2 linked regions of the Schizosaccharomyces pombe genome follow. Changing the gene in region 2 together with the main gene of any one other region gives a genetic interaction. Each region holds a gene or a part of one and is shown on either strand. Other genes may lie near its edges.

Region 1 (6,121 bases), 1.9 Mb from region 2:
CTGATTAAATAGTTGTGTTAAGGGGAATTTAATTGTCCTTAACTCGTTATTTGCATAAATTATAAAATTAAACATTTTTTTCAATGTGGCATTTATTAAACAGGTCTCAAGTAAGAGTATGTATTTTGAATAAAACATATCGATACTCAGAGTGAAGTTGACCATCTTGTCAAAATACAAGTTAATTTTAGCACGTTCACTATAACTAGATCTTTGTCACATAAAATTTGAGGCAATCATAAATTTAGCATTGAGCCGTCATTGATCATAATAAACTTATGGCATAAAAATTCGTATACAAAAAATGATCAATCATTATTAATAATTAAATCGAATAAGTATACTTTCGTAAAACGTTCCCATTTGGAAACATAAATTAACATCATATATTTGAAGTGAATATAATTTACACAAGCAGGCAAATTCTTGCAATTTGTAAAACATCCGAAGTTTTTGGAGCAATCATAATATACTTTGGAATTGAACAAAAATAAAATATAGAAAAGAAAGGGTAAGCAAAGCGATAGGTAAACATAAACAATACAGGATCTCTTTCGTAATCAACATTTGCTTGCAGTTGGAGGAAACAAGCCTATTTGTTGGGCACTAGCAATAGATCTTAGTTTACGACGTGCATTATTGGGAGCAGGGAAAGGCTCTTCCATTCCTCTATTAGGTCCATGGCTTACAAATATTTTCGGGCGGTAAGCAGGGTTCTCGTCCATAACACACGAGTTTCGGAATTTTTCAATCAGCCTGTCTTTGCCTTGAATATTAGCATAGCTGATATCGCATATTTTTTCAGAGTGAAAGACGTTCCATTGAGTACCCACTCTAGCTTTGCCAAAGGTAATGATAGATTGAGGTTCAATAAAGTTTATAAACGCATATCCTACATTGCATTTATTAACAAAATCTATCCGTAAATAAAGAAAATCATAGGTACCCTTGTTGGTAACATCAATGTAATCCCTTAGCATTTGCTGGGTAAATTTATTCGGGATATTTTTTATCATTACCGTGGTTCTTGTGTCAATTCCAGACGCAATTTGTGCATAATCGACAGAATTTCTATCTGAAGCATGTTTTTCAACAGTAGGAGTATATCTTTGGAGATTCAAGTCCGGATTCAGAGAAGAAGCAGATAGTGTAGAATCTGCTTTTGAGTCGTGTAGAGTAAGTGAGGCAAAACTTAAATTTGTAGGATTACTACATGATGCATTTGCACCAACAGTTAAACTTCTCCTCATACCAAGAGAACCTGTTGGTGAATCAAAGACTTTACCAGTATTAGAGGAAAAAGGTGACCATTGTGGATTAATTCCGTTCAGTAAATCACTATTCCTTTGCTTAAGACGTGAGGAATTTGGCGGTGCAATAGGATTTACATCTAAACCATACCTTATCGAATTATACTGCCTGGAAGGATTTCGATCACTGGGAGCAACAGGGCTAGTTGAAGAGACATCGTAATATCCGCTTGTTCCCCAAGCTGGAGATGATTCAGTGCGTCCTAAGGGAACGGATCCAAAGTTATTCGACATTCCATAACTCGAACCAATTCTTGAAACAGCACAACTAGCAGCAGTGGGAGTTTCTTGGTTAGAAGACATTGTCATAGAGTTGTTCCATTCAGAATTGTTATTTAACATCCCACTAAATCCTCTTGGAACAGAGAGGCTAGAGGCCGAAGAGGTGCTAACTGAATCAGCCATTGCATCGTAATAAGCGACTTGAAGGCAGCAATTATGAATAATTCTTCCATCCAATTCATCTAATGCAAAAGATGCATCTCTTGTATCATAGAATTCGCAAATAATTTGTGAAACATTTTGACTTCTTAAAGGCTTCATAATAAGAAGTGGACCGAACGTCTGAAGTATAGATTGCAGTTGAAGGATGCTCAGAACAGAACCTCCCTGCATATTTAAGAGAAGTTGACCTTCATTATCGTCAAGGAATTGAATAGTAGCACCTTGATTAATCATTTTTTGAATGCTGCTTCTTTGGCAGAATTGGAAATACAGTAATCTATCATTAAAAAATCTCTGAGATCGCAGTGATTTAGCGGCCTGTATTGCTTGCCTAATATCGAAAAAAGCAACAATGCATATACCATCCGTAGACAATGAAGATGTATCAATTCCTTTCACATCTCCAAGTTTTGAAAAAAGCTCCAATAAAGTAGCATAAGGAACAATACGAGGAAGGTTAGTAACGAACAAGTAACGAGAAGCATGAGAAAATATATCTATATCGTCAGAATTAGAGTTAAGCGAGGAAGAACGAAATCCGGTAACAGATGGTTTACGAGTTAGTGCCTGAGCTGCTTGCTCAGAACTTGAAATGTAACTTTGAATGCCATTTTGCGGAGGGGATTCTGAGAGAACAGAAATGTTTTGTTGCCATGTACTAAGAGGTTGTCGATCAGCTGACAATAAAACATTACCTGTAGTGAATACTTTCCGTTCACCAACTCGACAAGCATCAATAGGATTTAAAGGAGCGGTTGAAAACTGATAGTTGTTTTCGTTATTAACAAAGTTGGGGAAGATATTTTGAGTATCCGTAAGATAATCAATTGAGTTTGATTCACTAGATTTGGTAGCAGATAGTTGAATATTTCTGATGGGTGAAGGACCACTCAAAAGTAAAGTACTCTTGGGAGGGTAATGCTCGTTAGTAGAGAGTAATGGTGAGTCAAGAAGACTTGAGGGCAAAGCATGCATTGTTTTCTCCATATCAACTTGAAAAGTTGAATCAGATGGAGAAGGGGAGGTGATTGATAAAGGTGATTCGGTTTCCATAATCATTTATGTGTTAAAACGGCAACAATAAAGCTGGCCGATAATCCTTAAAATAGATAAAGAGTAAAAAAAATTACTTAATGACTAATAACTTATAAAACTTTGTTTAGAAGTGGTAAGAAAGGGAGAGAAAGGAACTGCAAAGGATTAAGTTAATACAAACTTTAAAAGACCAGAAAGTTGAAAAGAAAGGAAGGGGTTAGATGGTTGTTAGTAAATCAAACAAACGATGAGAAAATGCAAAAGAACAAAAGAATAATGAAATGAAAAGAAAAAATCAACAATAAATCACAATTGTCGTTCAAATGTATATAATCAAACGAAAAGAATAACAACCAAGATTTGAACAAACAAACTTGTCTTTCATAAAATTAACAAAAGAATAACAAACGTTAGAGGAGGAGAAATTTTCGGGATAAAACTAGGAAACTACCCTTTAATTTTTTTAAAAAAAAAAGAAAAAGATGGGATATTGTCACCACAGAAGAAAAGCGCAAGTAAAAATTTAAAATAATCGATTAGAAACTTTACACATATATACAAGAAAAAATGTATATGCGTATATGAAGAGAAAATGGATTGGAATCGTATATATATAAATGTATATATACGTATCAGTTAGGTTGCAAAAAAAGGAATTAAAAAGTGAAGCACACGAAAAAAGGGGAAGAAAGGAATCGATTCTAGGACAAAGAAGAGAAAAAGATATCAGGGAATGACAATAACGATTCAAGAAAAATTGGTAAAGATCAAAATGAGGATTCAAGAATACAGCCAGAAAATGTAGATAATGTGGTAAAAGATATAATTTGAACTTTCTTTGCGAATGCCTACTATGGGCTATTTTCAACAAGGAATGGGAAAGCGATGGTTGGTCTCGGAGTGGGCACAAGTAATTAATAAACAAACAAACAAAGAAAAGAGAAGTAGCAACTGCGTTCAAAGGTAACAAAGATGCGGGTGGGGATTTTAAGAAGGAAAGAAATGAATTAGATAAATAAACGTATCAATGTTTTGTTACGGTCGATAGGTTTATTGGCGCGGATGATGGCAGCTGTGTGTCCTATTAAGATGGAAAATGCGAACGGTAAGAGAAACAATTGGCAAGGATGGAGTAATGGAAAAGAAGTAAATGCACGATGTATAAAAACTTAAGTTTTTTCCATATGGTTTTTCAACTAACTAGAGGTGTAAAAAAAAAAAAAAAAAAAAAAAAAGCAATTTCCCTTTCCTTTTTTAAAATGGGGTATATATTTTTTGCTTTCTCTATTACAAAGGAACGTTAAGTTTCAGACAAACAAAATATACGACAGCCTAAATGGCAGCAGCGAAACAAAACAAAAACGATGCAATGCAATGCGATGCTTTTCAGTACAAATCAAAAAGCCAGCCCAAAATAGTTCTGTAAAGATAATTACAACAATCTGTCCGGCCGGATTGCTGGAGGAAGGATGGATTGTATGTTGGGAATAATGAGAGGGCTTGGATGCTTTATAATGAGATACAGTAATTAGAGAACAAAGAAGTTATTTCAAAGAAATCACAAAGTCAAAAAGGACTTTATTTGCTCGCAAATATTACGACAATTACTGGGAGAATGCTTGATTGAATGGGACGTACTGTTTATGCTACCCCTGCCTTTGTCCCGTGTAACACAAAGTGGGAAGAGTAACAAAGAAACGAAGTAAGCCAAGTAAACAAAGAATCTCAACAGCAGCTTTCAGTGGCGAAAACAAAGCGTTGAAAACAAAGGGAATCAACGAAATTTATAGACCTACGATGAAAATTTCAGTAGCCTTTACTGTTAGGCATTTACTGTGAACGTTTTTGCAATGCCCCTGAGGGGCTAGCTCGAGAAGGGTTTGTAAAACAAAGAAACTTTAAAATAGGAACAAAGAAATCGGTCGGCTTTCGTTACTCTATCTAAAGTTATGATGCGATGTCAGTAAGCTCTAATATAAGAGGACGATAATGGAAAAAAAATCCCATAAAAAGCGGGACAACTGATCCAATTTGGACAGATTGAAAGCCAACGCGACTCGCGTTAGATAGAGTAAATAGCGAGAAACGCTAAATGCATTTTCTTTTATGGTGTTTGCTTTGTCTACTGAAGCAAAAGGCTATTTATTCAAATCAGTGGTAATTAGTGTATAGCTTGTAAAGGTAAGTTAGTCCTTTTGAAAGTTTGAAAAAGATGATAGATAAAAAACAACGTTGTATCCATCCCGAAAAACATGGACAAGTCAAAGAAATCACATTTTTTATTTGCCTTCATTAGTGTAGTAATCTCCACCTTGCTGTATAATTCGGTAAGGATTTCTTTTGTTATTTACGCGTGCTTTTTTCCATACATCTTTTTTCGCCAATGCAAAACCCTCTTTTAACAGTGTTTCTTCTTTCAACCCTTATTCAGCGCATGCGTCTCCTATATTTGCGCGTTTTACACAGAGGTCGTTTGACATCCAGATTGTTCTCTGGCATGAAAGATAACTACATCATTTAATATTAGCAACTTGCTCACTTTCTTTTCTTTTCACATAAACTATAAAGCTGTTCGGCAATTAAAATTCCCCACTGAAATCCAATTAGCCAACGATCAAACTAGATCGCATTTATTGAGTGATTTGAAAACAATGCTTTATGCGCAAAAGTGGAGAAGGTAAATGTAGACAACCTCACGTTTTTGTTTATAAACATTAGTAAACGCCGCATTCGATTTTAATGTATCACGTATAAATCGGTAAATATGTGTGTACCACGGTTGTAGAAGTGCTCGAAGACAAGTAAGAAGGAAGCATTAATAACTTTTGGCAATTAAAAAGAGGTTGGGAATTCAGAACAAAAAAAGAGTAAAAGCGATATATTTATTCTATTCCAAAAGATTTGTATGCATGTATAAGAGATTTTAAGGCTGATGATGGTTTTTGATTATACTTTGGGTTTACATTATTTTTGTTTTGTTCTGTTTTGTTTGTTTTGTTTTGCTTTCGTATACACTCTATTTTTTTTTAAACGTAAAATGATCATTAGCGATGTTGCTTCAGTAAAGCGAGAGTCAGTGAACAATGGTTAGATTAAAGCTTTGCTGAGTAAATATTTTTTGGCTTTCTTATTAAAGGTCTTATAAGAAACATATGTGTATTTTTTGTTTTATTGCTTAGCCAGTTTACTATTTTTGGGACAATGCGTTTCGTAAACGTTTATGATGTTTGATGTACGTGACGAATTGTTCAAAAGTTAAATTTTGAGGTTTAAAAAAAATGAAGGCCTGAGAAACCGCTTCTATCTCTATGGTTGTTTATATCACCAACAAA
Region 2 (4,471 bases):
CCAGTATATTCTTGAACTTTAAAAATGCTATGTGCATTTTCGGGATATTTAGTAATACATTTAACGCCCTTTAAAAATTCATTTTTCAGTTTCGTCTTTAAAAGTTGTATTGCTGAGTTTTTGATGTTATGAGTACCCTAGGTTTTAGTAGTTAGAGAAAGAAAGAGAAAAATAATGATATGTAATATTCATTCAAAAAGCTAACCTACAATAAATAGACTCATACGTCTAAATGAGTTGTTTCGACCGTCCGAATTTTGCTTTTATTAAGTCCAGTAGAATAATCGCTGTAGACGTAAGTAAAAGGTCTCTTATGTTACAGTCAATTAGGGTTTATGTGTCTTTTACATGCTAATGTTAACTAAAGAAACTTTTTCAAAATTTCTTCAATAATCTTGCATTTGGGAGCTTTAAAATTTGATTATCGAATAAGAAAGTAATATAACTATTCACATAATCCATAGTCTCTTTGTTTATTCACATCCATTAGAATAGGCTTACAAAGTACTTATACTATTTATGAAACGCCTCTTATTAATCATCTAAAAAAGTATTTATGTATAAATGAATTTGAAAATGTTAACTGAAAGTGCGAAACCAATTTATGCAACATGAATATTCTATCTACTATAATAAATGTACATCAAACATTACCAGTACTAAAGGTACTTAATTTTCTTTATAAGTTAAAACAAAAACATGCAAATTCAAATATTCCGCCAAGCAATTTTTAAATTGTTGCGCGCACTTACGGAAGAGTATAGCTAATAATCATAAAAGCTATGATGACGACGCCTCTCAATTTCCTCTGCTAATTCATAGTCGTTATAATAAGGCGCAGAAGGCTCATAAGTAGTATGCGTTAAAGGCATATGCTGCCGAGAAATACGAGAATCAGACATGTGAGGCGGACTTTCATAAACTCCATAAACTGAGGAAGTGGGGTAGTATGGAGAAATCTGTCTATGCCGTTTATGGTAATACGGAGAAAACGATGAATTGTTAGATTCGTATGAATAGTGCGTTTCAATAGGAGGCGGACGATTCAAATGGAGCAGGGAGCGATTTTCTAAAATTGGCTCCCAATTATATCTTGATTGATTTGAAAACTGAGAAGGGCTCTCATGAAGACGATGAATGCCATTATAAGGAGGAAGCGATTTACGGGAAAGAAAAGTGCCGTCATAGTCTACAGAATTCCTTATCCCCGGAGGTAGAATATAAGTATTTTGATGAGGGAAAGGATGAGAAGTTTGATCTAAAGAAACCGGTTTATCTAAAAGGACAGCAGAAGGACGAGGGTGAGGCATTATATCCTTATAATCCCGAGTTGACATGACATTGTTCTCCAAGGACAACTCAGGTATTCGATTGACTTGTAGCGATTGCAATTCCTTTGGATAGGGGATCCAAGATGGAGAATACGGATGCAAATCCGAAATTGGTGATTGATTTCCCAGAATGACAGACGGCTCTTCGTTTTTTACGGAGACAATTGAGTTTTTTTCATCTGATAAAGGAACCGAAGGAAACCTAGTAGAGCTAGGTCTTGTTGACTGGGGAGGTGAAGGAAGGCGAGGAGAAGTAAAAGCTTTGTTAATAAGTAGGTTATTGCCCTGCTCACTCGATTCCAAATGTTTAAGACACGGGACTGCAACGTTAGTTGCCCTCGGAGGAGAAGGAGCTGACACAAGCGATACGGGAAGCGCAGATGATGGTGGAGACGGCATATACAGGTTTGATAACTCCACTGATCCAGTATCATTTTTCAACGGACTACGGCGAAAAGTGTTCGGTTGATATGTCTCTTTATTCACATTTTTTTTATTTTCCTTAGGCGTTGATGAAGAATTGCTAGGAAGAACTGAAGAAGGATTAAAAGCTTGATTCCCATACAAAGATAAAGTACTCTTTGCTAACAATTTATTAGATTTTTCCGGTTTTGAGGACTCCTCTTGAGTCCCAGTAGAAGATTGTTTGCTAGTGTTTACAACGGGAGTAATATCCTCTTTCATCAAACCAGTGGCTTCAGGTTTTGTTTGACTATTAAGTAAGGAATTAAAATCACGGTTAATGTCTAGCCGTGGTAAATTAGTAGATGATTTAGAAAAACAGTTTTCGGACATAGATTCTCTGTTACTAAAACCTCCATTCTTAAATTCAGAAGGAGTATTTTCATCTCTGGTTTGTGCTTTGGGTGATGATTTCAGGAGTTTGTTATTACCTTCATCATTTGCAATTTCGACTTTCCGTTTAACAGAATCAAAATTTTTTAAAGATTTATGTAATCTATCTCTTAAAAATTTTAAACGAACATTGTTCGGAACCAAAAATTGTTGATGTTTCCCTTCAAACACAGTATCTCTAAAAGAAATTATTTTTTTGTATTCCTTCTCCACAGAAGGTTCAACGGCATCCATTAATATTTAAATTTAACCAAAACAATAAAAATTCATGAATTCCCAAAAAAAGTTTTATTCAACATTTGGATGTTGCCAAGATATACGCTCTTGAATGTGCGTAGAGGTGACCATTAAGGAGCGCTGCACCACTGTATATATTATCTTGCATAATACAAACATAACAAAAACATTCATTAATCAAAATTGCTAAAGGCTCAAATGGGTTCTTTTATATTCTGGATACTACAAAGTTAAGCTTTTGCATTGTACGAATCACATTATTTTTTGCTTCAATTACGCACACTGCCTTAGCACAAATCTGTTTTACTTTTACCATTGAACGTGATCAGCAATTGTATTAAGACAGGGGTGAATGTGAACTACTAAATAAATTAACAGTCGATTTAAGAGAAATGCCATCGATTATCCTTTACTGTTCGTGGAATCAAGATCGTGGGTAAGTGGCACACATAAAATAGATTTTGTGCAATCTTTGTACTGACTGCTAAATTTAGCTTTTTATCAATTGGTTCTGAGAATGGCTATCAAGTTTATCGCTCCAATCCGTTTACCCTGTGCTTTTCAAAAAGTAAGCTGTCAATGAATTTCCGAGAAGTGGAAACACAAGCCCATCTTACACGACTTATAACTTACTGATTGTAGAAGCCAATGGGGCAAGTATTTGTGAAATGCTTTATGAATCTTCTCTACTTGCTTTCGTGAATATTTCCCCTGAGTCGACGAGGTTACTAAAATTGGTTGACATCAAGGTAATTAGTTAACTGAGATTCTGCATTGATTTCTTAATTTTAACCCATATTTTTAGAGAGATATCGTTTTATGCCGAATATTTTATCCGAGTCCTGTGCTAAGTGTACGTTTCACATGGAATCGTTTAGTTGTTTTAATTAAAGGGAGTATTTACGTATATAATCTAAAAAACATGGAATTAATTAATACTCTAAATACCTCGAAAGGAAATGTTATAGCTTTTGCTGTTCATGAGAATTATGTTGCATATAATTCACCGACCAACCCTGGTGATATTTATTTAGCCTCATTGGATACTGCAATACCCGTCACATTGATTCATTGCCATTCTTCCGCTGTCCAAGTAGTTGACTTTCATCCGCGTGGACATTTGATTGCGACTGCATCCGCAAAGGGAACTGTAATCCGTGTTATAACAACTAGTGATGGTGAATTGGTGACAGAATTGCGCAGGGGATATATACCTGCATCCATTGTATCTATCTCATTTCACCCAGTTGAGCCTTTTCTGGCTTGTGCTTCTGAAAATGGTACTATTCACGTTTTCAAAATCTCTAAGCAACCATCGGATCCGAATTCGTCTCCTACATCTTCCGTAACTGTGTCATCTTCTTGGTCAAAATATTTAACTTCAAATGTAGCAAAAGTTTGGGACACTAGGAAAGAATTTGCAACTGCTAAGATTCCTGAAGCTTCTTTCTATGGAAAAATAATTTTTTCGAGCAGCGGTCCGCACATACAAGTAGCTTCTTATTCAGGACACTATTATCGGTTCGCAGTAAATCTTAAAAATGGAGGAAATTGTGCTTTACTTGAGCGTTACATGTAAGCTGTTTGTTAAATTTTCGATTATTAACATATCTAGCTTTGACGATTAACTTTTTGCGCACAAGTTTTAAATTTACTCATACATCAGCTTCACAATGTTTTAGCTTTCATGGTCTTATGTTTTTTTTTTATTTACTGAACATGCTATCATTTATGTTTAGACCTTTGTAGATAATTTATTAAAATGTTAATGTCGATAAGTTGGTGTTTCACTAATATATTATACACCGGTACAGATGTGAAAAATTATCATTACGGTAGACACCTTACAAGTGCATCATATATCCTATATAAATTTTATATGCATTCCATAAATTCAATATTTGTACCGAAACAGGAGAATTAAAAATTCGAAGATAACAACATTCTATTAGAAACCCATAAAATTAAAGTAAATTTTTAGCGGCACGTTGACAACGCTAAAATCCAACCATGAAAAATTCCAGCTATTAACAAGTCCAAGAAGAAAG

What was found. A genetic interaction does not mean that the proteins touch.
Region 1: of iss10 (region 2) and mei2, changing one enhances a phenotype caused by changing the other (phenotypic enhancement), as found in Schizosaccharomyces pombe (one study listed by BioGRID).

The regions. Positions count from the first base shown.
Region 1 is NC_003424.3:4,510,480-4,516,600, forward strand, and holds mei2 (RNA-binding protein Mei2), read right to left. Parts: upstream 4,547-6,121; 5' UTR 2,814-4,546; coding exon 561-2,813; 3' UTR 504-560; downstream 1-503. UniProt on the Schizosaccharomyces pombe protein: Crucial for commitment to meiosis but it is not sufficient itself for the commitment. May be a splicing regulator.
Region 2 is NC_003424.3:2,609,049-2,613,519, reverse strand, and holds iss10 (protein Iss10), read right to left. Parts: upstream 2,495-4,471; 5' UTR 2,421-2,494; coding exon 765-2,420; 3' UTR 518-764; downstream 1-517. Other genes in the region: SPOM_SPAC7D4.13C (uncharacterized protein), read right to left, coding at 1-137, 210-224; phosphatidylinositol-3,5-bisphosphate binding protein Atg1802, read left to right, coding at 2,816-2,859, 2,918-2,991, 3,066-3,172, 3,229-3,998, 4,039-4,051.